Linked DNA regions of Rattus norvegicus. The protein of the gene in region 1 interacts with the protein of each later gene in a pairwise test. Links are inferred from orthologs where the notes say so. Each region holds a gene or a part of one and is shown in the gene's direction. Other genes may lie near its edges. The genes, in order: Tle5, Ldoc1, Fsd2, Frs3, Card9, Airim and L3mbtl2.

What was found.
Region 2: the proteins of Tle5 (region 1) and Ldoc1 interact in binary tests that used the Homo sapiens proteins (3 or more experiments, as listed by UniProt). The two-hybrid records come from large-scale screens. The link is inferred for Rattus norvegicus from reciprocal best matches to the Homo sapiens genes TLE5 and LDOC1.
Region 3: the proteins of Tle5 (region 1) and Fsd2 interact in binary tests that used the Homo sapiens proteins (3 or more experiments, as listed by UniProt). The two-hybrid records come from large-scale screens. The link is inferred for Rattus norvegicus from reciprocal best matches to the Homo sapiens genes TLE5 and FSD2.
Region 4: the proteins of Tle5 (region 1) and Frs3 interact in binary tests that used the Homo sapiens proteins (3 or more experiments, as listed by UniProt). The two-hybrid records come from large-scale screens. The link is inferred for Rattus norvegicus from reciprocal best matches to the Homo sapiens genes TLE5 and FRS3.
Region 5: the proteins of Tle5 (region 1) and Card9 interact in binary tests that used the Homo sapiens proteins (3 or more experiments, as listed by UniProt). The two-hybrid records come from large-scale screens. The link is inferred for Rattus norvegicus from reciprocal best matches to the Homo sapiens genes TLE5 and CARD9.
Region 6: the proteins of Tle5 (region 1) and Airim interact in binary tests that used the Homo sapiens proteins (3 or more experiments, as listed by UniProt). The two-hybrid records come from large-scale screens. The link is inferred for Rattus norvegicus from reciprocal best matches to the Homo sapiens genes TLE5 and AIRIM.
Region 7: the proteins of Tle5 (region 1) and L3mbtl2 interact in binary tests that used the Homo sapiens proteins (3 or more experiments, as listed by UniProt). The two-hybrid records come from large-scale screens. The link is inferred for Rattus norvegicus from reciprocal best matches to the Homo sapiens genes TLE5 and L3MBTL2.

The regions. Positions count from the first base shown.
Region 1 is NC_086025.1:8,793,571-8,797,926, reverse strand, and holds the end of Tle5 (TLE family member 5), read left to right. Parts: exon of another isoform or gene 1-1,463; intron 1,464-1,469; coding exon 1,470-1,533; intron 1,534-2,062; coding exon 2,063-2,107; intron 2,108-2,225; coding exon of another isoform or gene 2,226-2,240; exon of another isoform or gene 2,241-2,260; coding exon 2,261-2,323; intron 2,324-2,713; coding exon 2,714-2,788; intron 2,789-2,908; coding exon 2,909-3,130; 3' UTR 3,131-3,804; downstream 3,805-4,356. UniProt on the Homo sapiens protein: Transcriptional corepressor. Acts as a dominant repressor towards other family members. Inhibits NF-kappa-B-regulated gene expression. May be required for the initiation and maintenance of the differentiated state.
Region 2 is NC_086039.1:145,000,384-145,004,567, forward strand, and holds the start of Ldoc1 (protein LDOC1 precursor), read left to right. Parts: upstream 1-1,383; 5' UTR 1,384-1,459; intron 1,460-4,184. UniProt on the Homo sapiens protein: May have an important role in the development and/or progression of some cancers.
Region 3 is NC_086019.1:144,923,337-144,927,367, reverse strand, and holds the start of Fsd2 (fibronectin type III and SPRY domain-containing protein 2), read left to right. Parts: upstream 1-1,203; coding exon 1,204-1,830; intron 1,831-2,206; coding exon 2,207-2,302; intron 2,303-4,031.
Region 4 is NC_086027.1:20,788,687-20,791,855, reverse strand, and holds part of Frs3 (fibroblast growth factor receptor substrate 3), read left to right. Parts: intron 1-193; 5' UTR 194-216; coding exon 217-282; intron 283-1,060; coding exon 1,061-1,247; intron 1,248-3,069; coding exon 3,070-3,169. UniProt on the Homo sapiens protein: Adapter protein that links FGF and NGF receptors to downstream signaling pathways. Involved in the activation of MAP kinases. Down-regulates ERK2 signaling by interfering with the phosphorylation and nuclear translocation of ERK2.
Region 5 is NC_086021.1:29,575,598-29,579,654, reverse strand, and holds the start of Card9 (caspase recruitment domain-containing protein 9), read left to right. Parts: upstream 1-1,252; 5' UTR 1,253-1,470; intron 1,471-2,554; 5' UTR 2,555-2,566; coding exon 2,567-2,750; intron 2,751-3,134; coding exon 3,135-3,272; intron 3,273-4,057. UniProt on the Homo sapiens protein: Adapter protein that plays a key role in innate immune response against fungi by forming signaling complexes downstream of C-type lectin receptors.
Region 6 is NC_086023.1:142,481,858-142,486,203, forward strand, and holds the start of Airim (ribosome biogenesis protein C1orf109 homolog), read left to right. Parts: upstream 1-1,529; 5' UTR 1,530-1,875; exon of another isoform or gene 1,876-1,961; intron 1,962-3,097; 5' UTR 3,098-3,100; coding exon 3,101-3,375; intron 3,376-4,346. Other genes in the region: Cdca8 (borealin), read right to left, coding at 887-1,015, 1,121-1,214. UniProt on the Homo sapiens protein: Part of the 55LCC heterohexameric ATPase complex which is chromatin-associated and promotes replisome proteostasis to maintain replication fork progression and genome stability.
Region 7 is NC_086025.1:115,079,996-115,083,551, forward strand, and holds part of L3mbtl2 (lethal(3)malignant brain tumor-like protein 2), read left to right. Parts: intron 1-1,042; coding exon 1,043-1,274; intron 1,275-1,664; coding exon 1,665-1,741; intron 1,742-2,064; coding exon 2,065-2,169; intron 2,170-2,951; coding exon 2,952-3,099; intron 3,100-3,432; coding exon 3,433-3,515; intron 3,516-3,556. UniProt on the Homo sapiens protein: Putative Polycomb group (PcG) protein. PcG proteins maintain the transcriptionally repressive state of genes, probably via a modification of chromatin, rendering it heritably changed in its expressibility.

The DNA.
Region 1 (4,356 bases):
ATTGTGTTTGTGTGTGTGTGTGTGTGTGTGTGTGTGTGTGTGTGTGTGTGTGTGCGCGAGAGAGAGAGAGTATGAGAGAGAGAGGGAGGGAGAGGGGCCACAGTGTGACTCAGGGTCCACCACTCAGTCTTGCATCCCTGAGCGAGTGCGGCCTTCACTTGGAGAGCATATCAGAAGTTAGCTGGGCTAACAAGCCACGCTTTTCCCATTGCTCCTGTCTGAGCCACAGGCCCTTGAGCGGCTGAGCCTGTTCAGGGCTGGCCGAGAACAGGGTCACTGTGCAGGCTGTGTTGGCCTCCCGTTCCTGACCCTGTGGCTGCGCTAGGCTGGCTTTATGTTTGTTTGTTTTTTGTTTTTTGTTTTTTTCCAGGACAGGGTCTCACTCTGTAGGACAGGATGGCCTCAAACTCACAGACGTCTACCTGTCTTACCCTCCCAAGTTTTGAGGGCCTTTTGGATTTAAAAAGAAATATTTTGATGGGCTTGTGGGCACAGGACTTTAACCCCAGCACTCAGGAGGCAGAAGCAGGCAGATCTCTGAGTTCCAGGACAGCCAGGGCTACACAGAGAAACCCTGTCTTGGAAGAGAGAGAGAATGGGGGGGGGGAGGTAGTGCTGTTGTTGAGGTGGAAGTCAGAGGACAACTTGGGGGAGTCACTGCTAGGCAAGAGCCTACCCCACTGAGTAGCCTCATAGGTCTGGAAAGCAAGCCACAGACCCAATCCCTTGATTCCACTGACCTGTCCTGGTCCAGGAAGGTTGCCACTACAAAGAGAAAGCAAGTGGAGTCCAGAAAGGTAGAACAGCCAACCTAGAATCACACAGCAGCAGAAGGCAAAGAGACCCCAGCCTCCAGCCCCGATGAGACTAGAGAGATGGGCTGGACCTGAAGAAGTTTCCTGAAGCCAGGACACCATGGGGTGTCTGTTCCTTTCAGCCCTGGGCCATCTCAGTCTTCAGCATTTGTTGTTGTGTGGAGATATCTCCCCAGGTTTGAGTACTCGGGTTACCGCCGGCTGTGTGACCTTGAACCTCTCACTCACCCTCTCTGGGCACCCACTGAATCCCATGTTAAGATGAGATAGGGGGATGACAAGTTCTGCAGCCCTCATCTCCTGCAGGAAGGTACCTCTGACTTTGGTGGTTGTTATTCCATTGAGAATGCTTTTGGAATTTCAGTAGGGGAAACTGAGTAACCTCGCCTGCCCAGGATTGCAGAAAACCCAGGGGTGTCCTTAAATGCAGCCAGATGTGGTGTTTGGCCCTGTCTCAGTTTGCATCTTGGGGCTGTGGCTCAGTTGGCAGGAGAATCAGGACTTCAAAGTCATCCTCAGCTACATAGTGAGTTCAGGGCTAGCCTGAGCTACATGAGACCCTGTCTCAAAAAAAAAAAAAGTTTTTGGCTTGACCCTCCAGAGGTGCCCCCTACCCCGAGGGGACCTCAGTTGCCTTCCCTTGTGTGTCCTCAGCCTGAAGCTGGAGTGTGACAAGCTGGCCAGCGAGAAGTCAGAGATGCAAAGGCATTACGTCATGGTAAAGCCCTCTCGGGGCGGGGGCGGGGGCGGGGCGTTGTGAGCGGCGACCCCAGACTCCCCACATACTGCAGGTGCCTGCTACCGAGTCCCCACAGGCTATCGGCAGCCTGGCCACCAGCCCAGGTAGTGGCTGAGGTGCCAAACCACCGGCTCGCAGCTCAGGCCGGCCAGGTCTCAGCCGTCCTTGGCGGGCTGCAGGAGGAGGCAGCTGTGGAAGCCTGCCATAGCCAGCCGGAAGCAACAGTTCCCTCCCTCCAGGCCATCCGGATGGCCAGGCATCCCTTAACCCTTCCTTGACCAGAGACCTCCTAACCCCCACAGGACCAAAGGGATTGTGCTTCCGTCCTTTAGTTCCCAGCAGGGGAGGTTGCTGGGGTCTTGGGGCATTGTGACTGGGGTCTTGAAGAACAAATAGGAGCTCACTGGATGGGGGTAGGGTGGAAGGGCATTGCTGGAATGTGCAGGGAGAAGCAGGCCACCCATAAGGCCACAGCCCTTTGGCCCTGACACGCTTCTCCACCTCACAGTACTATGAGATGTCTTACGGATTGAACATCGAGATGCACAAACAGGTGAGCCTCAGTATCCCTCCTCCATGACCCCAGTGCCCTGTGATTCCCAGACTGAGCATTGAGGCCACTCCTGTTACCCCCAGAGGTGGACTCAACTCCCCCTCCCCTGCCCTCCAAGTGCCCCAGGTACTGAGGGAAAACCATGTGTTCCAGGCTGAAATTGTGAAGAGGCTGAATGGGATTTGCGCCCAGGTTCTACCCTATTTGTCCCAGGAGGTAAGCAAGCCACCAGCAGGGAGCAGTGGGATTCCCTTCTCCCTGTGCTGAGCAACCCCCTGAGCACACACCTGCCCTCTCTGAACTTAGCAAAGGTGTGAATCGGAGCAGCTGGAGTCAGACCCCTGTGGCGAGGCAGAAAGTGCTACCGGGGTGGGCGGGCCGGCGCAGATGATTGATGGGGGACCGGGTGGGCGAACTCTGAGGAAATCGCTGTGAAGCTGGATTCCTAGTCTCCCACCCCGCCAGCCCCTGAGCCCCTAGGACCGGACTTCCCTTGTGCACTCGAACCGATTGCCCACTGCACAGGAGCCTCCCCCTTATGTTTAAACTCCAGCCTGACTGTCCCTTTGCCTGAGAGAACTGTGTCTCCTCCCTTGCCTCTTCCAGCATCAGCAGCAGGTCCTGGGAGCTATCGAGAGAGCCAAGCAGGTCACGGCTCCCGAGCTGAACTCCATCATCCGAGTAAGTCGGAGCTCCTGGTGGGCGGGGACTTGGGTGGGCAGGTGTATGACCCACGGTGACTGGGGTCAGGTGACAAGACCCTGAGCTGACTCTCACCCCACCCCCACCCTCGCCCCACAGCAGCAGCTCCAGGCTCACCAGCTGTCCCAGCTCCAGGCGCTGGCCCTGCCCCTGACACCGCTGCCTGTCGGGCTCCAGCCGCCATCCCTCCCTGCGGTCAGCGCAGGCACAGGCCTGCTGTCACTCTCTGCTCTGGGCTCTCAGACCCACCTCTCCAAGGAGGACAAGAACGGACACGATGGGGACACCCACCAGGAGGATGATGGAGAGAAGTCCGATTAGCTCCTGGGGAGAGGGAGGGGGAGGGGGGATACCAGGGGAGACAGGCACAGAGAGCACAGTGTTCTGAGGGCCACACTGCACACAGCTCGGTCCCTACCCAAGCTTCCACCTCCAGTCCTGGTTCCAGCTGTGCACCCTGGGCCTAGGAGACGCCAGAGGGACAGCCCAGGCTACAGGGAAAAATTCCCCACCTTCAACATTTCCCCGGGCTACAGCCACCAATCTCGGCCCAGAATGTACACAACGCTAGCCGCCCCTTTCCACCCTGTGCACCCCGAATTTGCCCCCTTTCCCCTTCTCTGCTTCCTGCACTGCACACCTGCTAGGCCCAGACCCCTCCCCCCAGCTCACCCAGCTCTGGTTCCCTCAACCGCGGAAAGAAAGCATTGGCTCGGGACTGCAGTGGGGGTGGGCACCCCACAAACTTCCCTCTCCCCTTCCCCAAATAAACGTGAGGGTTAAAAGTCGGTTTGTTTATTATTTCTTTTTCGTCCCAGTACTCTATAGCTACCATCTAAGAGAGAAAAAGAAGGAAGCCCTGGAGCGAGCGAGGGTCTGTCTGTGCATATAGTTAGATTTTTCTGGTCGCCTCGGCTTTGCCACCGAGAGGTGGAGGGCCGCTGTACTGAGGGTGGGGTCTAGCTGTGCCTTCAAAATAAAAACATGAAAAGGTCGGATGGTGTGTCCCTGCCTCTGTCTTGTGGGGTGGGGACCCCTTTCCTCAGGGCACCCTGTGTTCTGCAATAAGACACTCCTTGAGCAAGCAAAGGCCCAGAGGGTAAACTGGGGCCCTGCAGTCCTGGGGCAGGACGGTGCAGCTCAGTGCTCAGGTTTTCAACTGTTTTGGCAGGGTGGCCTGTGGCACCCACATGGGTGCCTTGGTTACTTTCTGAGAGGTGGCCTGAAGGCTCTCTGTACCCCTTCCAGGCTAGGCTGTCCCCTGGGGACCATGCCTTTTTGGGCCTCAGTTTTGGGCCTTTTTCTGTCTTGGTTTTCTGTGTAGCCCTGACTATCCCGAACTCATTCCTCAAACTCATAGAAGTCTACCTGCCTCTGCTTTCTGAGGCCGGGCAGTGGCGTCCTGTGCCACCTGTTTTCTTTATTTGTTTTCTGTTTGTTTTTCATTTGCTGGTTTATCGTGTCTGTCCGGTTTGAGGACCTCTTACAGGAATCTGTCCTCATCCTCCTTGTATCCTCGGGGTCAAACCCAGGGCGTCACTCTTTGT
Region 2 (4,184 bases), on another chromosome or scaffold:
AATGCTTGAATTACCCTAGATCCCTAGAACAAACGAAACTCAAGACGGATGATCAAAATGTGAATGCTTCACTCCTTCTTTAAATGAGGAAAAAGAATACCCTTGGCAGGGAAGGGGGAGGCAAAGATTAAAACAGAGACTGAAGCAACACCCATTCAGAGCCTGCCCCACATGTGGCCCATACATATACAGCCACCCAATTAGACAAGATGGATGAAGCAAAGAAGTGCAGACCGACAGGAGCCGGATGTAGATCGCTCCTGAGAGACACAGCCAGAATACAGCAAATATAGAGGCAAATGCCAGCAGCAAACCACTGAACTGAGAATAGGTCCCCTGTTGAAGGAATCAGAGAAAGAACTGGAAGAGCTTGAAGAGGCTCGAGACCCCAAAAGTACAACAATGCCAAGCAACCAGAGCTTCCAGGGACTAAGCCACTACCTAAAGACTATACATGGACTGACCCTGGACTCTGACCCCATAGGTAGCAATGAATATCCTAGTAAGAGCACCAGTAGAAGGGGAAGCCCTGGGTCCTGCTAAGACTGAACCCCCAGTGAACTAGTCTATGGGGGGAGGGCGGCAATGGGGGGAGGGTTGGGAGGGGAACACCCATAAGGAAGGGGAGGGGGGAGGGGGATGTTTGCCCGGAAACCGGGAAAGGGAATAACACTCGAAATGTATATAAGAAATACTCAAGTTAATAAAAAAAAAAGAAATGAACAATAATTTGATTGCATAGCTTGATAGTAAAACAATTTTATTGTGCTGTTAGCCAAAATATTTACCTACAGTAAACATATAGTTAACATTTCCAACAAATTTACAAAATTATACAATGAGAAGTTAACCTCAACTTTAGAGTATTTTCATTTCTCTAATAATCACGTTGCCCTTCGGTTCTAATTCCATTTATTGTTTTTTGTTGTAGGATACGGAGCTGATATTATCTCTTCTAGTTTCTCTTGCTATTCATAGAGAGTGTAAACTATATCTTTATCTGTTAATCTGCTTGAAACTGAGCTACAAGTGGATAAAGGTCCTCAGCATAAAACCTGATAGTCTGAATCTGGTAGAGGAAAATATTTGGATTATACTTGAATTTACTGACACAGGAATGCATTTTCCCCAGTAGTTAATACATTAAATCCAATTAATACATGGTAACTCATGAACTAGACCGCTTCTGTAAAACAAAAGACACTACACTATCACTTAAGTAACGAGGCAGCCTTTAGAATGGGAAAAACTTTAACAATTATGTATGTGGGATGATGTCACTGGTGAGGCAGGTACAAGATAGAATGAGGCCTGTCATTGGACGAAAAGGAAGGATGGGCGGGAGAAAGTTTTGAAGGAAGAGGAGGAGACAGAAACGGAAGAGGGGAGGAGAGAGGAGCGAAGCCGCGGCAGAACAATTTGGAAGCCTGTGTTTAGATTCCACGCTGTACCTCAGCAGGTTATATATGTTCTTAAGGGATGGATGTGTAATGGGCTTTGTATGTTTAGGTGGGCAATTGTATTTTATCAATTGGATCAAAAATTATTGTGTTGTATCATCTTTCATGTGTAGATTTAAATGTAAGGAAGTGTGGGGCGGCTTGTCTGGGTCGACATGGAGTTGGGATGTGTGTTTCTGGCATGGAAACCTGCCTTGGGACCTAGATAGGTAGAGAGATTTCTTCCAGGCTCAGAGAGGCCTTCGGCAGTGTGATATGGGATGCAGCAGAGCAGGTGAGACGCTTTGCTGACTGAGTTTGGGATATCTATCAGATATCTTGGGGGTACTGTGGTGCCGGACCTAGAGAGGGTATAAGACAGCATTTTATTTTTATAATTTTCAACAACATATATATCTGACACGTTAATATTTAGAGTAAACAAGGAACTACACATCAAGAAAACAAACAATGTAAGTAAAAAATGGGGCGTAAAATTAAACAAAGAGCTCTCAAAAGATGAAATGAATATGACGGAGACATTTTGTTAAATGGTCAACATCCTTAGCCATTAGGGAAATGCAAAGTAAAACTACTTTCAAATTTCCTCTTACTTCAGTCAAAATGACTAAGATACAAATAGCAAGTGATGACAAATACTTGTAGGGATTTGGGGAAAGGAAGCACTTGTTCACTACTTGTTGAAGTTATTCATCAGTGTGTTCACTGTGGAATTAGTGTAGAGTTCCTCAAAACACTGGAAATTAATCTACTGCTTGGGCATATACCAAAAGAACCCTATATCTTACTAAAGAGACACTGTCTCATTCATGTTCAATGCTTCTGTATTTATGATAACCAGAAATGGAAACTCCCAGATGTCCATCAACCAATGAATGGATGGTAAAAATATAATACATTTATACAATGCAATACCATTCACCCATTGAATACTAAAGTTGAATTTTTCAGGTAAATGCATGTATTTGAAAACAATCATTCTGAATGATGTAAAACAGACACCCTCCTCCCCAAAGGACAAATGTTGATTGCTTTTACTTGTTGCAGATGCTAGTTTTGCATCTTCAGATTTGTGTATTTATTTTGAAATGCCCATGGAAGTCAGGAAACTAGTAAGGACATATGGTGGGGCATAGGATGCTTTTAAGGGACCAATTAAATGATGCAATCATTTAAAGGGAGAAAAGGGAATAGTGAAATAGGAGGAATGAATAAGGTGGGAGATGGGTAAACTGGTTAGAAGAATATATACATAGAACAATAACAAAAGATCTATGTACAAAGTCATATGGAAACCTATTCCCACATATATTGGAGCTGTTAGCCAGTGAAGTCCCATAGACCTCCAACTATTAAATGCTATTGATATTGCTCTTGGTTATCCTCCAGAACTTGACAGTAAGACCTTATTTCTGATGACACCGCATACTTGAGTCATAGAACAGAAAGAAGTCAAACTGGTATCCATCTGATAGCTTCATTCTTACTGGATAAATTCCATGTTGCTGAAAGGTGCTATGTACGTTAACAGAATGGAAAAATAATCAGTAACTAACTCAGTTGTACAATGGTGGCATGGATATTTTAAATGTAGTAAACTATTTTTTTTCATTTAAGGCCTGTTCCACAAGATGAAACACATAACTAGCACAATTATTGAGGGCAAGAACTTTTGATCAGGTAATTCATAGTCCCTAGGGAAGAATTTGCTATTATTATTCTGCTAAATGGACACAGTGTTAGTATAAAACTTAGCACTATGCTAGTAGATTTGTGGGTAGTTCAACCCTCATCACCGTCATCGGAGTAGCTTCTTTTTGAAGTAAATGGTGCTAACATAAAGAACTAAAAGCAGCTCCGGTGCACTAGAGTAATAAACTACAGAATTCTCAGCCCAAATATGATAAGTGAATCATACCTCTTCACCCAAGTCAGGGATTATTGCAGAAGAAGGAGTGAAAAAGAATGTTAGAGCTTGTCAATGTGGATAAGGACAAAGAAACAGTACTTTCTGGGAACAACTATGTGGTTTCACATGAAACCCACAGTCACTGAATGTATACAACCCGTGTAAGTTCAAGCCCAACAGAATTTCACCACGGGGAGAAGAGGTGGGTATATTTCACATCTATGTGAAGACGATTGTCAGTTGATGGCTTCTAAAAAAGGAAGCATCAGTTTTGCTTAAGGGTGTGGCTTAAAGTCTAATGGATGACCCTATACCCAAGAATATAAAGATAACCCAAAGCAGACTGGATGAGTTAAAAACAAAACACAAAACCCCAAACACAAAACCAAACCAAAACCCCACAAAGTTCGGTGGGCAGGACAAAGGGCATGAATCTGGATGGTTTTAGAAGAGACAGTGGTGAATATGCTCAACTTGTATGAACTTAAATAACTAACAAAAGTACTTTAAAAGAAAATGGACATATACAGTATGATGGTATTTTTTTTTCCTGCCATTTTCAGTTTGTATAATTTTCCATTCCAGCATCAGTGTGTTAATGCCAATTCTGTGTGCCCTTACTGGCACGTGACATTTTCACATTTTCCTTACTATTTTCTTGTTTATCTGGCAGGGCTGTATCTCGAAGTTTCACCCTCTTTTTTCCTAGAACTTCATGATATTCTGCATCTTCACCAGTGATTTCTATTGGTGCATTTTCTCTTTGGAAATGTTGGTTCACATATTTTTTCATGTTAAATTCTATTTTCTCATTA
Region 3 (4,031 bases), on another chromosome or scaffold:
GGACTTTGTTTATTTAAAAAAAGAAAAAGGCTCAACTCAACCCAGGAGTGGAAATTACAGGATCTAGAATGCAACAGGAATGAGTGAGTTCGTATTTTGTTTTTCAGTTTGTCCAGGCAAACTGAGTGACCGTGCTCACCTGTGTAGGTAGATGGGAATGGAGGTGGTTATAACATTCCATTCTTTCAGCTCCTTCTGAAATGTACGCCGAAATTATATAATGACCTATCATGAACATTTATTTCAAATAATATATCAGCTGACAACTTGATTAGATCCTCTTGCAATTTTGTTAGAAGCAAAGAGCTGGAAAGCACTTACCTTGAAAAAAAGATCCTTTCTTTCTCATTCATTAATGTCACTCACTCTTGGCATTGATGCCAATCCTCCAGGCTATCCTTTCATCCAGTCCCCTGGAGGCTTTATTAAATTCCCAAGCAATGAAATCTTACTGTGCAATGTAATATTCAGAATGAACAGGAAATATATTTTTGCTTTTCTGATAAGCGAAGGGCTGTTGAGAAGAAAGGACCTCAGAGGCTGCCTTGTTCCCAGGCGAAGCAGCTCTGAGAAAGGCCAAATGCAAACCTGAGACTGTATCTGAACGCTAACTCTTCATACCCAGTGCCTGGATTCCCCATGGAAAGCCCCGTGCACACGTGTCACGGTGTGGAAATCAGCATTATCAATGCCGTCCTTTGAAGGAGCCTGACTATGAACAAGGAGGGGCAGATGGTAGCAGGGGGGAGGAGGCTTAGTTTTACGCTGGCCTCATTCAAACTGTTCTTTCATAACAAATTATTCCACAGCTTGATAACCTAAAATAACCAATATTTATGATCTTGCATGGTTCGTGAGAGCTGTGAATGGCAAAGAGGTCATGCGGTGACCCTAGGTAGGGGTGATGCTCCTAATACACCTTTCTATAGCAGTGTCTCCAGCTCGCCAGCCAGCCTTAGGTCTCTAGGGAGGGTCTCCATGTGTTTCTGTTGAGCAATTGTGAGTCAGCTACGGCTGGGACAATTCAGTGAATTTGCTTGCCATGATGTAGACTGTGACCGTTGACTTCTTGGATAAAATCTGGAACTATGGAATCTCGTGCGCAGACTCTGCAATTCTCTTCTTGGGAACTGACGTTCACTTCTTCTGTGTCCTAGGTCTCAGAATACCCACTGACTGACTAGGAAGGGCTGTTCTGTGTCAATGGAGGAGGAAGCAGGGGAGGAGCCGGGGCTGGGGAGATCAACAGCCCCCAGAGACTTCCACTTTTATCACATGGACCTGTATGACTCTGAAGATAGACTGCAGCTCTTCCCAGGAGAAAGCAGCAGAACCCGGAGGGAAGTAACCCAGGCTGAACTGACCAATGAGCCAAGAGGGGCAGGGGACAGTAAGAATCTCCAGAAGGAAGTGGACGCGCTTGTCCATTTATACGGGCTTGAAGATGAACATGAGTTAGGGGGTGAATTTGTGGATGAACACAGATTGGGGACTCTGGGGTATCCGTACGGGATGAGGAGGAGGGATCCAGGCAGGGAGCAGAGAGACTGGGGGCTTAGTGGTGAGGCAGCTGAGGCCGAGGACCTGTGCTACGGAGTTCAAGGCCCTCCTGACCAATGCCAAGACCTTCGGGAAGCCTACAGGTACACACATGGCCGCGCCAGCGAGGAATATGAATGCTACGTCATCCCAGAGGAGGAAGATGAGGAAGAGCCTGCTGATGTCTTCTGTGTCACTTGCAAAACTCCAGTGAGAACTGTTGAGAAGGATTTTGATATACACAAGGAACACGAAGTAACCCCAATCAACAAGGCTCTGGAACACGCCAAGGTAACAGATCTTACATCTTCCGCTGGAGAGTGCATGTGTGTCTCGGGGAGGTGGGCAGAGGTTCAGTCCTTCATGCCTCCAAGGATGAAATGGTAGCCTGGAGAGATGGTTCAGCATTAAGAGCACTGGCTGCTTTGCAGAAGTCTTGGGTTCAGTTCCCAGCATCCGCATGGTGACTCACAGCCATCTGTAACAGCAGTCCCAGGGACCCCGATGTCCTCCCCTAGGCTCTGTGGTCACTAAGAACACAACGTGGCGTACAGATACACACACACACACAGGCAAACATCGGTGCACATGTTTTTTTTTTTTTTAATTTAAAAAAGATAGAATAAGCTTATCGTTGATACTTTATTCGTTCTGCTCACCTCCACAGGATGAAATTCACAAAAATATGTGCAAATTGGAACAGCAGATTATTGAGATGGAAAATTTCGCTAGCCACCTGGAAGAAGTGTTCATCACTGTGGAGGTAAGGCCGAGTGTGGTGATCTCTCCACAAGTAGCTTCCTTCAGGCAGCTGCTCCCAGTGAGCTACAGAAGCCATGTCTTGGAATGTGAGAGCCCGCCCCTCCCCTCAGCTATCCACTGAACTTCACTGCCCCTGGGCAACTACAGAGGTGACTGTCACTTGCCTTCATCCCCCTACTCTGTCCTCTACGTGGGAGAGGCTGGTGTGTGTGTGTGTGTGTGTGTGTGTGTGTGTGTGTGTGTGTGTGTGTGTGTGTTTGCTGTTGTTTGGTTGGTTACTTTGTTGGTTGGTTTGATTTCTTGAAACAAGGTTTCTCTGTGTATCCCTGGCTGTTCTCGAACTCTCTCTGTAATCCAGACTGACCTCAGATTTGGAGATCCACCTGCCTCTGTCTTCTACCTGCTGGGGTTAAAGGTGTGTGCCCATACTACCCAGATTTATAAATGTTTATTACATGAATAAGTAAAACAGAAACTTTCCAATCAAAGTACCAATTGCATGGGGTTTAATTTTCGTTGTTGCTGTTTTGTTTTGTTCTAACAGTGATGACACCATGGTGGCACCATCCAGATGGTGAAGTGAACAGTTTCCTTCTGTCCTGGGAGTTGGGGTGGGATGGGGTGGGTATGTGTGTTTCTGTGCATCCGTGTTTGCAAGTACATATGCACATGCACTTGCATGTGAAGGCCAGAGGTCAAGTTTGGGTTTCTTCCTCAGCCATTCTGTACCCCATTTTTGAGACTGGATTTGGAGTTCTGTAGCTTTGCTAGTCTAGCTGGCCTGAAAGACCTGGAGATCCCCCTGTCTCAGTCCTCAGTGTTAGAGCCACACAAGCTCACTGCTACACTGTCGGAACTACATTCACTCACTGCTGACCTACATATGAACTACATATGCTCACAGCTGCACTTACATACAAACTACCTACGCTCACTGCTGCACTGCTGACCTACATGCGCTCACTGCTGACCTGACCTTTTACACAGGCGCTGGATACCCTAATTCAGGTTTCCATGCTTGCTTTGGGGCTCACTCTGAGACTCCCCTGGGTGCTGTCTGATGTCCTGCTGTATAAGCAGGCATAGTGTTTCCTTGCTCTCTGGAGTTTTTAATTGTCTGTGTGTGGTGGGGTGGTACCCATCATATCACAGTTTTCCCCCTTTGAAAATGTTTATTGTTTATATCCATTTTATATGGTATTATGCAAAGCAAGGACATTTTCACACGTGTATATAATGTGTGTTGAGCATACTCCTCCAAATCCACTTCCCTCTTTTATCTCCCCCGTTCTTCTCCTCTTAGTACTCTCTGTTCCCTAGACAGTTTCATGACCTTTGTACATACATAATTTTATGAATCTATGTGAGATTCAGGAGCAACAACTGAGAGAGAATGTATATTTGTCTTCTGAGGCTACCTTAATTATATTTTCTCTAGCAGCATTCATTTTCCTGCAAACAGTTCCATTGAGTATGTAGACATTTCTTTACCCGTCCCTCTGTGATGGACACCTCGGTTAGTTCCATAACTTAGCTAATGTGGATAGCACGGATGTTCGATGTCCGTGGCAGGCTGACTTGGGCCAGATGGGAAGTGTATTTTCAGCTTTTTAGGAAACTGTGTACTGAGTGTCCATGGTGTGGGGACCAATTTACATCCGAAAAGTGGCGTGTGCAGAGTCCCTCTTGTCCACACGCCCGACAGCAGTTACTTGTCAAACAGGTCTTCA
Region 4 (3,169 bases), on another chromosome or scaffold:
TTAACTCATTCTAACTTGAATTAATGTTTATCCCAAGTGTGTTTGGCCATGGATTGAGACAGAATCCCCTCAGGGTGTGTCTGTGTCACACAGCCTGTTGGACAGAGGACGTGCTCACAGTGCAGTATTCTGCACAGAGCAGAGCAGCTTGGCAGGGCTGCTGGTGACCTGTTCATCTCTTGTCTTTCCCCAGGGCTGATAGGCTGCTCTGACACCATGGGGAGCTGCTGTAGCTGCCTGGACAGAGACAGCGTGCCACACAACCACCCTACCAAGTTCAAGGTACCCAGACCCTCTGTCCACTCAAGTCCCAACGTCCCCTTGAGGTTAGGCTTCCTGTGTCTCTAGGGAAAGGAAGATGACAGGCTGTGGCTGTGGGCCCAATAAGGCTCCTGATGCTTGCTCTTGGCCTCTGAGGTAGTGTGAGAGGGAAAACCTGACCTTTGTTTCTTATTTTTTATTCTCCCTCTCCCTCTCCCTCTCTCTCCTCTCTTACTACCAGGAATCATGTTTTAAGTAGAGCACACATAGCACAAGAAGAAACACTGGGTTTTGTGAGCCTAAGTTCCCTACATCCCATAGGAGGCGCCATCTCCTCTCAACTGGGTTTTTTCTGGGCCTGTGTTTCTCCTGCCCAACTGGAGAGGGACACTCAGCAAGTTTGCACAGTTCCTGGGTTGGAAGCTGGCTGTATTTGTTCTGCCTTGGGCCTGTCAACAAGACTTTAGATTTTGAATTAACAGTTAAACCCCTCCACACTGTTAAGCCCCAGGAAGTTCTTGAACATTGGACAGTTAACCACCTGGCCTGGGAGGTCAGCAGATGACCTCTTTCCTGTTTGTGCAAACAACAGAGCTGAGGCTCATAGGAGAGACTTCCCCCAACCCCCTGAAAACTCTGACTCATGGCACTGCTCTGTGTGACCAAGGGATCTCTTGGTACAGCTAGGAGCAACTCTGTCTCCTAGCTCTAGCCCTTCATGATGCTGCGTCCCCATGTCTCAGGGTCCTTGCAGACACTTCGTAGCTTCTCTGTTGACCTTGGTCACTTCTCCCTACAGGTGACAAATGTGGATGATGAAGGGGTGGAGTTGGGCTCAGGGGTGATGGAGCTGACCCAGAGCGAGCTGGTGCTGCACCTGCACCAGCAGGAAGCTGTCCGCTGGCCCTACCTCTGCCTGCGGCGCTATGGCTACGACTCCAATCTCTTCTCCTTTGAGAGTGGCCGCCGCTGTCAGACAGGCCAGGGTGAGTACAGCCCTGCCCTCCAGGACAGGGCCTGGGTTGTTACAGAAGTGAAGAATGGCCCTAACACCCTACCAGCAGGCATCGGCCTTGGCATTATTGTTCAGAGCAGGGAAAGGTCTCAGCCAAAGGCCTAGAGCGTGTTATTATGGAATTACGTGGACCTAGAGCAGTCCTCTTCCACACCTCAGTCATTGCTGTTCTCCCTAGATGCCTTGGTGCGAACACTTGGTACACAGTCCATGGAAGGAGCCAGTGCTCCTCGACCAGAGTCCACATGGCAAAGACAACTCTTTCCACTGTTGCCACGGTTTCAGGGTCCTTACTGCCTCTGCAGTAGGGAAAACCTGAGCTGCCAGATCTTACACCCTGGGCTCCATGCACAGTGGAGGAGAAGTCAGGCAGGAGGCTGGCAGCTCGGCTGAGAAGCTCGCACAGAGATTTGGGCAGCGGGAACTTGGGTCTCTCGCATACAGTGTAACCTTCTACAGCCTGACCTTTGTCTGCCGTCACCTGAGCAGTGGAGCTCAGGGCTGGCAGGCTACTCATGAGCTTGAGGTTAGGGCTTGAGGCCTAGGACTTGCTTCTTAGGTCCACACATGCTCAGCACAAGGAGTCCTTCTTGGGATTGTGCTGCAGGCAGACAGAGCTGTCTCTCCCCTAACACCAGGCTTTTGCTGTACCCCAGCCCACCTCACATTCCTTTCTTTCTCCCCCCTCTCCCTCCCTTCCCTCTTTGTCTTCCTCCTCCTTCTCTCCCTGCCCCGCCCCTTTGAGATGGTCTTGTTATATGTGGTCCTGACTGGTCTCCAAGTTCATGGGAATCCTTCTCTCACCTCCCAAGTTCAAGATTACAACCAGTGCCACCATTTCTGTCCTTCTGATCTTGCCCAGCTTTTACATATTTGTCACCTTTCTCATTCTGTTTCTACAAAATTCCATTACCCTATGCTGGAGCTAATGGGTAGCAATATAAAACAGCGATGTGATATTCACTGTCCATGTCCCAATGTAACTGTATCTATCATTCTGTGGGTGTGGCGCTGGAGAGTAAATCAGGGCTCTGTGTGTGCTAGGAACCCCTTACACACCGTGGTTTTTTGAGAGAGGGTTTTCATGGGTAGCTCAGGTTAGCCTTGCACTTAATGCTCAACTGTGTGTGTGGTGCCATACCTGGTAACATCTATGTTTGCTGTGGATGTGTGCACAAGCTATCCCATAGGCCTGTGTTACAGAGCCCCAGGCTGGCATCTTTAGAGCCATTGAGTTCCATGTGCTCAGTCAAGTCCTGCCACTTTAGGGACAGACTGGTCTTGGAAGTGCTTAGAGGCCTACCGCATGAAGAAGCACCGGACTGCCTTGCTGTGTCTCTCCCCAAGCTCTGTGAGGGACATAAGTGAGGAGACAGGAAGATGGGGGCTCTATCCATGGTGGGCTCTCCTCCCCAGAAGACACCTATCCTTTTTTTTTTTTTTTTTGGTTCTTTTTTTCGGAGCTGGGGACTGAACCCAGGGCCTTGCGCTTGCTAGGCAAGCGCTCTACCACTGAGCTAAATCCCCAACCCCAGAAGACACCTATCCTTATGAAAACAAATGTCCTGGGGCTTGGGAAAATAGAAGGTAGTGTAGGGAACTGGGTGCCTGGGGCTTATCCCCCACCCCTCCAGTATCACTGGGATTCTGGGGCACCTCTGCCTCTCTCTGCAAAGAATGCTCAGGGAACCTTGTGAGAGTGGAGGTCAGGGTCATGGCCTTCCTTTGGCTGGCTGACCTTTCTGTACCAGAGAGGGCTGGGGGAGCCCTCACTGCTTCTTCACCTCCTCCAGGGATCTTTGCGTTCAAGTGCTCAAGGGCAGAGGAAATCTTCAACCTGCTGCAGGACCTCATGCAGTGTAACAGCATCAATGTGACAGAAGAGCCGGTCAT
Region 5 (4,057 bases), on another chromosome or scaffold:
AGGCCCTGGCTTCGGTCCCCAGCTCCGGGAAAAAAAAAAAAAACAAAAAAAAAAAATTATTTGTTTTATGTGTATGAGTACACTGTTGCTCTCTTCAGACACACCAGAAGAGGGAATCGGGTCCCTTTACAGACAGTTGTGAGCCACCAGGTAGTTGCTGGGAATTGAACTCGGGGCCTCTGGAAGAGCAGTCAGCACTCTTAACCACTGAGCCATCTCTCCGGCCCTGTCTCCTTTTTTCTTAGACACTATTATCGTGACACCAGTCCTAAGCCCTTGGCTCTCCAGGAGTTAGTTCTTGCATGTGTTCATCCATCCTCTGTGGGAAATTTCATAGTAAAATGGCGTGAGCAGCCTAATCCTGCTGCTTGTACCGACTGTCAGCAGGTGGTTGTCCTGCAGCCCAGCTCATTGCCCTCTGTTATGTGTCCAGGGACCAGTGTTTTCCATGGCTCCCTCTAACCTCTTCTCCACTCTGGAGTACTGGGGTTTTTTCAGCTATCCGATTGATTTCTACCTCAGATTTATGGGCAAGAGCTTCCCATTTTATTAACACTTTTAAGAAAACACCATGATCTGTATTTTTACTGTTTGGGGAACAAACTCCACTATGGAGGCCTTGTGATCTCCTTCCTGGAGTAACTGCAAAGCCGTGGACCCCTCTTTGCCATCCTGGAAACCCAGCAAGGCACAGTCCCTAGCAATGCCACTCCCAACCCCACCCAGGCCAAAGAGGACTCCTGACTGCTGCTTTTAGAAGTATGGTCCAAGGTCACTGTCCCCACAGGAGCAACAGAAGGGCAGTAAGCCACGAAAGACGGGGCTGGTTGGGCTCTGCTCTTTGTAGGTCTCCCAGCCTTCCCACTCAGCTTTTGCTTCAACTCCTCTCGAAGACTAGGCAGCAGCACCTGTCTAACAGCTACACTGGCTGGTCAGGGCTAGCAGGTCCCCACGCCCATCTCAGGCTGGGGCACGCAGTTCACGGAGGACTCTAGCTGCCTACAGCCCGTGGATTGTCCTGCTGCACCTACCCTGCACCACCGTCCTCAGACGGCAGGTGAGGATATGGGCGGCCATGAGGGAAGAGCGGCTTTCAGAAGCCTGGATCCAGGAGGGCCTTAGACCGCCCATCCACAACGCCAGATTTTCAGATTCTGTGGCTCCAGGTCCGAGTTCAGATGAGCAGGCGGGGAGGGCTCCTCTGCTCCCAGAGTACTTCTACTTCCCTCTCTCCTGTTCCTGGATGGACCAATCAGAAGGTAGACCAGCAGGGACTGCCCCCCCCCCCCTCCCAGGGAGGACTGGCTGGCTTGTGGCAGCAACCAGAACACATCAGGAAGTGCACAGCCTCCCTCATGGCTCCACCCTTCTCCAGTTAGGGAGCATCTCCACACTCCCAGAGGCTCGCTCCTGGAGTGCCCATAGCCCAGGCAGCATCCAGCTGGCAGGTGGCTCCCACAGGACCCTGAGGTAAGTTCACCTTCCTGGAGGTGGGTGGAAGCCTGTGGTGAGTCTGCTGGGGACCCTGGAGCAGCAGTACCTACAGGCAGGTGGCCTCCTCCACCCTCACCCTTCATTTGATTAACCCTGGCCATGGCAGTATAGTCCTCCAGTGCTGGGCCATGTGGCTGTGGGGCTGGAATGGCAGGCAGTGGGCCCAAGGTTTAGAGAAATGTCTGTCCACTGAAGCCACTCACAAAGGCTTCACTTGTCCACATGCAGCTCCACACGAGTAAGCCCCTATGTTCAACTGGCCTGACTGATCCCCATCATGTGGCCAGAGGCCAGGCCTCATCCGGCAGCAGAAAAGCACAGGACTTGCCTAGCACCTGAAAAACTGGAGGGAAGCCGCAGCAGACGTCCAGTGTACCCCAGCCTAGCAGGGAGGCAGGCATGCTCCCACGGCCAACCCTTACTTGCCCTCCCAGAATAGCACCATGCCACAGGCTGTTGCATCACTGGCTACAACGGAAGGCCTGAAGGACTCGGAGCCTGTCAGGGAATGAGGAAGTCACACATAGGCCTGGCCCCCTGGCAGAGTGAGAAAGCCTCCCACCAACCTGACCCTCTTAGTCCCAATCTGGAGACTGGCCAGCCAGGGTCCACGCCACCCAGGGAGGTACTATGTAGGATGGCCAGTAGGGGCAAAAGCTCCCACCTTGAGGGTGTGCCAGGGCACTCCAGGGTAGAGGGCAGAAGCTAGAGCAGGCCTGTTGTACAAGGGCTATTCTCTTAGACCCCCAACCCATCCCTTCCCTGCATATCCACATGACTCAACGAAAGCTTGGGGTGACAGCAGCTTGGGGAAGGTGGGTTTAACAGGTGGCCTGAGGAGGGGCTTGCCTATGGACCTCTGCTTCCCCTCAGAAACTCTCCATGGAGCTGAGGAGATGAAACTGAGCCGTATATTTCCCTAGACTGAGTCCCTTCTGACCCTGCCCAAAGCCCTGCCCTGGCACTCCCAGGCCTGGGTCCTGTCAGGCTGACTGCGCCAGGCCCAGCAGGGAACAGAAGGTGGGCACTTCCTCAGCTGCTCTCCCCAACTGTACCACAGCCTACAGAGGACATGTCAGACTATGAAAATGACGACGAGTGCTGGAGTGCCCTGGAGAGCTTCCGGGTGAAGCTAATCTCTGTCATTGACCCCTCACGAATCACACCCTATCTGCGCCAGTGCAAAGTCCTGAACCCCGATGATGAGGAGCAGGTGCTCAGTGACCCCAACCTGGTCATCCGCAAGCGGAAAGTGGGTGAGGGCTGCTCCCATACCAGCAGGGCCCAGTCCCTCATCATCCCCACAAGACAGCCAGCCAGAGTCTGCTACCTCAGCCCCACCCAGCTCCATCTCCATGTAGGATATGAGTGAGGTCCTCCTCCCCTCTTGTCATGTCTACCTGCTGCTGCCCAGTGGGGGAAGGGAGTCCCCACCATTGTTCAGATCCTCAGAGCCACCAGAGTAAAGACAGCACCCTGTCCCACCTAGACTGAGACCTGCAGGGTGCCTTATGCAATGGCCCAGAAGGGAAGGGGGTGTCTAGAGCTTAGGTTATCTACCCAGAGTAACCATCCTAGCCAGCCCCAAGGGCCTCTACCTACCCAGCCCTGGGCCCTGACTCTGTCTCTTCTGCCTGAAGGTGTGCTCCTGGACATCCTGCAGCGGACAGGCCACAAGGGCTACGTGGCCTTTCTTGAGAGTCTGGAACTCTACTACCCTCAGTTATACAGGAAAGTCACTGGCAAGGAGCCAGCGCGTGTCTTCTCCATGATCATCGGTGAGAGGCACAGGTGTGGGTTGGTGCTGTGGGTGGACTCGGTGCTACTTGGCCCCGGCTCCTGTGATTGCACTGGAGTGACTAAGTCTGACACGAGCCTTCTGATGTAGATCAGGGTAGTGGTCCCTGGTGCCTCTCCGGTTCTCGGGAGCAGGGCCTTCCTGGATTGCTGAGGCCCTGCTGGTCTCCAGAAGGGGAGCCCTTCTCTGCTTCTCCTACTCACAGCCTAGAAATTCCACTGAAGTGGTGACCGCTCTGCAGTGCCATTTCTGCAGGGCCCAGTTGTCAGCCAAGGGCAGAGTCGTACAGTTTCCAGAGGGGACAGAGGTGTCCTCTCGTGGTGGAATAGCCACAGCCCTATCAATTCTCATCCATCTCACAAAGGTCACTGTAAGAGTAACAGAGGGCAGGCATGATGACACACACCTTTAACCTTTAACTCCAGAGGCAGCGACAAGCAGATCTCAGAGTGAGAGGCCAGCCTGGACTACATACATACAACATAAACACGTAAAACAGGGGCTGGGGGGAGACAGAAGGCCGACTGCAGTCCTGGCATGTGAGTGTTTGAGTCAGAATCTCAGTTCGCCTGTGAGGGACAGCAAGGCAGACTGGGCCTAGTGAGCACACTCAGTCTTGAGGGACCCATCCTACCCTCTGGGAGGCCAGGAGTGCTCCCTCTGTCCCTCAAGCTGCTGGTCTTCAAGCACACACTTGTAGACAAGGACGAGCACAGGGTCTGCAGGTGACAGCCACAGCTCCACCTGACACTGCATGGTCCCCAG
Region 6 (4,346 bases), on another chromosome or scaffold:
TAGAAGGCCGAGTTTGCACAAGTATTTCCCCGATGTGTGAAGATGTGTGAAAGTTACGTGAAACTGACATTTCATTGTGCCCAGAAATCAAACTCATCACAGCTCCTTTGGAACTATAGTAGAAATCCAATTCCAGAAATCTAAATTATTTGTTACCTGGCCAGTTAAGGACCATGGTTTGCCTGCCCATGGGCTGGATGGCAGTTTCAGGTGCACTGAGCAGTAAGGTGGTTTCAGATCATAAACTGCCTCTTTCCTCTCCAAAATATGGATGTGCCCTCCTGCAACTCTCCCCTTGGACACAGAGATGCGGAGAAAACATGATGTATCCTGGTCTTGCATTTCTCTCCCTCCTCTGTAAATCGGCAGGAAAACTTTTATAGTCCTACCAAGTGCCTGCATCCTTGCCTAGGCTAGCTTAGGCTAGGTCAGGTCAGTGTGGAACGGCCTTCCCCAACCTCTGAAAGCCTTCAAGAATCAGAAGCTCACTTTGTACTATGGATTTGATCTTTTCTCTCTTCCTCTTCCTCCTCCTCCTCCTCCTTCTCCTCCTCCTCCTCCCTCCCTCCCTCCCTCTCCCTCCCTCCCTCTTCCTTCAGCCCCCCCCTCCCCCCCCCTCATCTATCTCTGGTATATACCTTCTAAAGCTCTCCTCCCACTGAGCAGTGAAAGTGTGAAGCACTATCCTAATAACACTCATCTGAAGGGTAATTCATGCCCGCTTCTTTCCAATGGGTCTATCACTTTTTTTTTTATAAGTTATGACAGATGGCAATTTCCCACCGGTGGCTATTTAAGACCTTATTAAGACATCTGAATGAGTCCCTATAGAAAGTTTTCAAGATAAGCACTAATCGGCCACGGGGGAAACGCTAGCAGCTCTTACCAAAGTAGTCAAGCCACTTCATGACTTGCAGCGCCTTGGGGAGCCGAAGGACCTCGATGTTGTAGAGATTTTCCACCTCCTTGAGGAGGGTCTGCCTGTCGGACTCAATTTGCTTGGTTCGAACTTGCACTGCAAAGAGGTGAAAGCCGATGGATCCCGCGTCAGGTGTGCGAAGCCGTCGCACCCGCGCCCCAACCCACCCAAAACTCACGATCACGCGAATCCACCCCTTACCCTCGCGGTCGAAGTCCTTTAGGAAGGAGGCGAGCTTCCGGCTCCGCAGTGTGTTGGTCCTGGTCCCGCGGCTGCTGCGTTTCTTAGGAGCCATGACACCAGGGTGCGTCCAGCGAGGGGCCGAGCTGCCGGGTTAGCGAATGAGACCGGGAAAGAGGGCGTGAGTGGTCGGGGAGCAGCGGAAGTTCAGTCGTTGGAGTCTAGGTATCCTGAACTCTGCGGAAACAAACCTGGGGGTCCCAAAACAGACTCAGGAAACCTTACAGCTCCAGCTGAGGGACGGGTTGATCTTCCACTAACCGCCACCCAATTCAAACTCAACGGGCACAGCCTAGCCAATAGCAAATCGTCGTCTTAGGACGGTTCTCACAAAGTCCAATCACAACAAAGCTTCTTCTCCCTCCGTCAGCCAATCCTTATGGAGAACTACAATGCCCAGAAGTCATTGAGGCATACGCCATCTTTTCGCGACTCCAGAGTCGTGCTAACTAGAACTGGAGTGGTGAGTTCGGTCTTGTGAATGAGCAGACAGTGCCAAGCCCCGTGTAGTTTTTGATGTACTCAGTGTTGACAACCCAGGATTTACGTTTTCCTGTTGATTTAGGAACAGGGCTGGAAATCTTAAAGAGAGGAGACAAGACTCCAGAAGCACTGGTCCGGGGATAGACAGACCCCAGGGCTTCGCAATCTAAAGTAGATTGCACTGTCGTTTAGAAACCCCTTCGGAAGACCTGCAGTCCTTCTGCAGAGAACTGGTAAGAGGACCGCCGCAATCTTTATTCTTGAGTGTCAGCGGTGACAAGACAGAGGAGCACAGCTTCACTCTGCCTACTTCAGCAAGGTGAGGAGTTCCCCTAACCTTTTAGGGACTTCAGCTCAGTTGATGGCTCTGAGGCTGGAAAGAACTCAGCACTAGCCAGTCTATGAAGCAGAGTTACATGCACACATTTGATACGGGGGCTCACCATTTAACTCAGGCTAGCCTGGCAGTCTCTGTGTAGACTAAGTTAGCCTCGAACTTACAGAGATCTGCCTGTTTCAGTCTTCCATGTGCTAGGATTAAAGGTACATTCGTCAACTCCCAGCCTAAAGCTTTTAATACAGGCTTAAGCACAGGGATTAAGAGAGAAGCACTTAGGCATAAAATAGAATACACTTGAAGGCTGCTCAAACAATCTCAGAAAGTTAGACATAGTCATGTGGGTCTGGTCTTCTCCAGGGAGATCAACAGTTGACACCATCCCCCGCCCCCCAGTTTCTTGAGACAGGGTTTCTCTGTAGCCCTGGCCATCCTGGGACTGTAGACCAGGCTTGCTTCAAACCCAGAGATCACCTGGCTTTGCCTCCAGAGTGCTGGGATTAAAGTCATATTACATTAGCCGTGTATACTTATTTTGGTAGCTTTCAGGTTACATCTCAAAAGGGTTTCTAAAGAACCCTTGTTATTCTCTTCAAACAAAAAGTTGTTTGAGAAGAGAAGTAAGTGAGAGGGCTTCCAATATTCTCTGATGGTATTACAATCCAATAAAGTGAAATCAGGAGCTCCTATGGTTGTAAATGGAGCAGTGTGTGACCTTTCTCTGTAAATTGGATTTCTGGTGAGATTTCTAGAACATGGAAGGAAGGAAGGCCTTAAGCAGTTGGTTGTAAATGGAGTAGTGTGTGACCTTTCTCTGTAAATGGGATTTCTGGTGAGATTTCTAGAACATGGAAGGAAGGAAGGCCTTAAGCAGTTGGTAAGTATGCTGCTGAAATTCTTACTTCATTGTTGGTCGAAAGTGTCAACCTGCTTCCAGGACGAAGAGTTCTTTTCTGTGTCACCTAGAGTCTCCCTACCTTTCAATATTGCCTTGGGACTATTTGAAAACCAAATCTGGTCTTCTCATGAGGTCAAAAATGACTCACCCTTGATGTAGGCTCTCCCTTTTTGGTACCCTGACTCTCTTTTGTTTTGTTTTGTTTTGTTTTTCTACCCAGAAGATGGCTCATGACCAGCCGCTGCTGGTTGTGCAGGAGGCCCTGAAGAAGTGCTTCCCCGTGGTGGAGGAACAGCAGGACCTGTGGCAGAGCACTCTGCAGGACTGCTTGCCCCTCCTCTCCTCTCTCAGCAATCTGGCTGAGCAGCTGCAAGCTGCACAAAGTCTGCGGTTTGAGGATGTGCTAGCCCTTCGTCCCTTTCCAGACCTGCAGGAGCGATTGAGGCGCAAGCAACTAGAGGCTGGTGACATTGTCCTGGACAAGCTAACTGAGAGGCTGTAAGATGCTCTGTGTCCCCCTTTGTTGATGGACAGATCTTAAGGCTGTAGGGCATCTCAGCCTCAGTCATGGTGGGCCTACAAAAGTTGACAGAAGCAAGTCAGGAGTAATCATGCAGGGGGCTAAGATTGAATGTCTGTAAGTTCGAGGCCAGCCTGGAGTAGGTTGTTTTAAAAAAACCCAAACCAGGCCAAGTGTTTAATCTCAGTACTAAGGAGGCAGAGGCAGGCAGATCTCTGAGTTCAAGGCCAGCCTGGTCTACGTAGAGAGTTCCAAGACAATCAAGGCTACACTGACAGACCCAGTCTCAAAATAAAATAAGTAAGTAAACAAACAAATAAAAATAACCCCAAACCAATTACATAACTGAAGAAATGACAAAAGCAGAAAAGAAGAGGAGAGGAAGAAGAGTCTTCCTTGGTATTCTGTAGAGTCAGTGAGAGCCAGGATTAAAGACTGTATGTACAGGACCTTGTACACCCCTGGCTTAACCCTGCTTATGCATTTGGAAGCAAGAAGACAGAAAATAAACTGATTGTCCTGATCACAGAGCCAGTGAGAATTAGAGCCGGGATTCTGAAGTGTGCCTGCCACTTAAGCTGGGCTCCTCACCACCACCTCCTTCTACACACAAGTGGATACATGTGTAACCAGTCCACAAAACAGTAACAACTCAGGCGTTACTGATACTCTGTTTTCTGTTTGTTAAGTCACAGTGTATAAGCAGGACTTACAGACTTGCTGGTTTTGGGTTGTTTCCTGTTTTTACACTGTAAGACACAGCCGGATCTTTAGAGCTAGAGTTCTGGGCTGGGAGATTCCTTGTCCATTGGGAAGTTGCAGTCTTTGTTTTAGTGATGAGTCCCTTTGCGTCAGCATTAGAATGATATGTAGGCACTGCTAAAGGCACCTTATATACACCATCATATTTCTCTCTCTGGTGACAGTGAATTGACTGATTCACTGTGTG
Region 7 (3,556 bases), about 110 Mb from region 1:
ATACTGGATTAGCTCTTCTTGTAACCTTGGAAATTGTCCCCTCCGGCGTTTTAGAAGCAGCCCTGCTCAGTTTGAGCATTGGTAGGCCAGAGCTGCTCTTGATTCCACTGCATCCTGGTGCTAAAAGCCCTACAGCCCACCCTAGATACAGACATCTTGGTTGTTGTCTTATGCTTTGTGGACTGCTGCTGTTAAAATTCGCTAAGCCCTAGGAGTCACATATGAAATACATATTTAAAAAGACAGTCTCCACATAATCTAGGCCGACTTTGAACTCCCTGTGATCCCAGGTTGGCCCCTACCTCTTGTATGCTAGGATTATAGCTACAATACCACTGGACAAAATCTTCCATGTGCTGCCATAGAGGACCAGAGGCAGAAGAGAGTGCGAGGTGCCAGGGGTCAGCAGAGCTGTGAACGCCCAGGCTGGATCCAGAACTAAGTCTGCCTACACTTTTCTAGGTCATTTGAGTTCCCTTGGTCTGAAGTAGATTTCTGGGATTTCCATCACCCTGACTAGCTGAGATCTGGTGAGACGAGGTACCCACTGAGAACTGTAGGCCTGCCCACTGTGCTATTCTAAGGGATTGGGGCTCAGGCAAGACAGGAGGGCAGAGGGACTCTGAGATTTCACCACCCTTCCCTGTCCCCTCTGACTCTTAAAAAAAATATATAATTTTATGTGTATAGGTGATGTTTGGCTGTATGTGAGTATGCATGTTGTCCCTTGAAGGCCAGAAGAGGGCATTGGGTTCCCAGGAATTTGAGTTATGGAAGGTTGTGTCAGCACTGGCAATCAAACCTGTGTCCTCAGGAAGGGCAATGTTCTAACTGCTGACTCACCCTACAGCTCCTCCTTTGCTTCTCTTCAGTTTGCTTTGGTTTTTCAGGACCAGGGTTTGTCTTTGTAGCCCTGGCTGTCCTGGAACTCAATCTGTAGACCAGGATTAAAGGCCTGCGTCCCCACACTCAGCTCCTGCTGACAGCAGGGATACAGGACTGGGTAACTGAAGCAGACGCACGCCTTCTTGTGTCCCTGCAGATGGTAGAAAGCATGAAGTACCCTTTTCGGCAGGGCATGCGCTTAGAGGTTGTAGACAAGACTCAGGTGTCACGGACCCGCATGGCTGTGGTGGACACAGTAATTGGGGGTCGCCTGCGGCTCCTCTATGAGGATGGTGACAGTGATGATGACTTCTGGTGCCATATGTGGAGTCCCCTGATCCATCCAGTGGGTTGGTCACGGCGTGTTGGCCACGGCATCAAGATGTCAGGTCAGTAGAGCCTCTGGCTGGTAAGACTCCAGGCTTAGCCTCCCCCTAAAGATGAGTGCGCCTTTGCTGCACCTCACAGTAGTGCAGTGAAGTGCACTATCATGGCTGCCCAGCAAGTGACAATGTGGAGAATCAGAGAGGCCAGTGACTCAGGTCACTCAGCTCAGTCTGAACAGCCAAATTGCCTTGTAACGCAGATGGTATTGGCACAGTGCCAGGACCAAAGAGCGTGCATCCCCTGTGCTGAGTCCACACTACTGCCCCACGGTCCTCTGTTTCCCTGTTAGGAAGCAGGTGGGACACAGCTGAGACCAAGATGGGAGAAGCATGTGATACCCAGTGGCATCTTCAACTTCCTTTTCTTTTCTTCTTCTCTGTCATCTCCCCTAGAGAGACGATGTGACATGTCTCATCACCCTACCTTCCGGAAAATCTACTGTGATGCTGTTCCTTACCTCTTCAAGAAGGTGAGGTACAGCCTGTGGGCACTTTTCCTCTGGCCGTACTCCTTCGTTGGCATCTCTCTGGGACTGACCCTTGTCTCTTTCGTAAGAGATTGTTGTTCCACAGCCCTAAACATGCTGAGAACCGTAGGAGAGGAGATTGAAGCAAGGACCCATTGCAGCCCAGTTCAGCTTGTCACGGCCTCCTAAGTTCTGGGATTAATAGGCGGGCACCACAGCACCCAGTAGGACTGTCCTTTGCCCTCTGTTGCCATCCCAGGCCTGCAGTATCCGAAGGATGGTTCCTTTGCCTTCTCCTGACTCCCTGATTGCTTCATTCCTTTAAGGTCCGAGCTGTCTACACAGAAGGTGGTTGGTTTGAGGAAGGAATGAAACTAGAGGCCATTGACCCTCTGAATCTGGGCAATATCTGTGTAGCAACCATCTGCAAGGTGAGCCTAGGCTACCCTTCCGGCCTCCCGCATGGCTGGCTGAGTGTTGGATGGCACAGCTCTGCACCCACTGTAAGGTCCTTGGAGCCCTGACCCTGCTGCTCATATCGCCCTTAACTTCTGTGTGGTGGAAGGAGACTGTTCCTGCTCTTGGCTCAGAACCTTCATGGTAGGGTTTAGACTAAATATCTAAGCCTTGTCCGGTGTCAGGTATAAGCATAATGCTGACCCCTCGTGAAGGCCTTTCTGCCACTAGTCCTCCTTTGCTTGCCCAAAGCCTCAGCCCAGCTTCTTGCTCCTACCTGCCATCACTGCTGCAGCCTACGGACACTGTATTGTCCACCTGGCCACATGTAGCTGTGTCCAGCCACATGCTATCTACATACTCAGGGCCTGGGGGCAGTAAGGCAGGTGCAGCCCTGGCTGGCATGGGTTGACCAATGGTGGAGAGTGTACACTGTTCCTGAGTACTGGGTGCTCTGCCAAACTGGGGTATTTTGGCATAAGGCAGAATTCAGCCATCCGTTTGGATCCATGTCTCGTGTCCAATCATAGCCACCTATTTGGAGGGTTTGCAGGTGATGACACATGCCATCCATTTCCCTGTACCCTCCCCTAGGTTTGGTTTTATTTTATTTAGTTGCATTTATTATGTGCATGTGCATGGAAGTCAGGACACTTTGTGGTCGTTGGTGTGTCCTTCCACTGCATGGGTCCTAGGGTTGGAACAGGCTATGCAGGACAGTCTTTACCCTTTGAGCCATCTTGCTGGCCCCTCCTAGGTGCTCCTGGATGGTTACCTGATGATCTGTGTGGATGGGGGGCCGTCCACGGATGGCTCAGATTGGTTCTGCTACCACGCCTCCTCCCACGCCATCTTCCCAGCCACCTTCTGCCAAAAGAATGACATCGAGCTCACACCCCCAAAAGGTAAGACTTCAGGATGCAGTCACAGCCCAGATCCCTGATGTGTGGCTGTGGCATGGGAGAGAGGAGGGGCCTCTCCAGCCACCACTGCCTTTGCACTGCCTGGGCTGACCCAGCTGATGTATAGCTGGTGAACAGGACTCCTGTGTGTTAGGGCCATCCAGGAGCTGTGCAGCAGGACTGTCCTAGAGGAGGGGCCACGCTGGAGAGAAGGGTGGCTGCAGACTATGCTGGGACTCGGCTGCAGGGTCCCCAAAGTGTGTGTTCTGCCCTTAACCCCCAGGTCTTACCTTGTGACTCTTGCTTCCTCACTCCTCTTCACACTCTCCCCTCCAGGGTATGAGACACAGCCTTTTGACTGGGAGAGCTACTTAGAAAAGACCAAGTCAAAAGCAGCTCCAGCGAGACTCTTTAACATGGTGAGGAGACTCCAGGGCTGGGTTGGGGAGTCTGTGGCAGC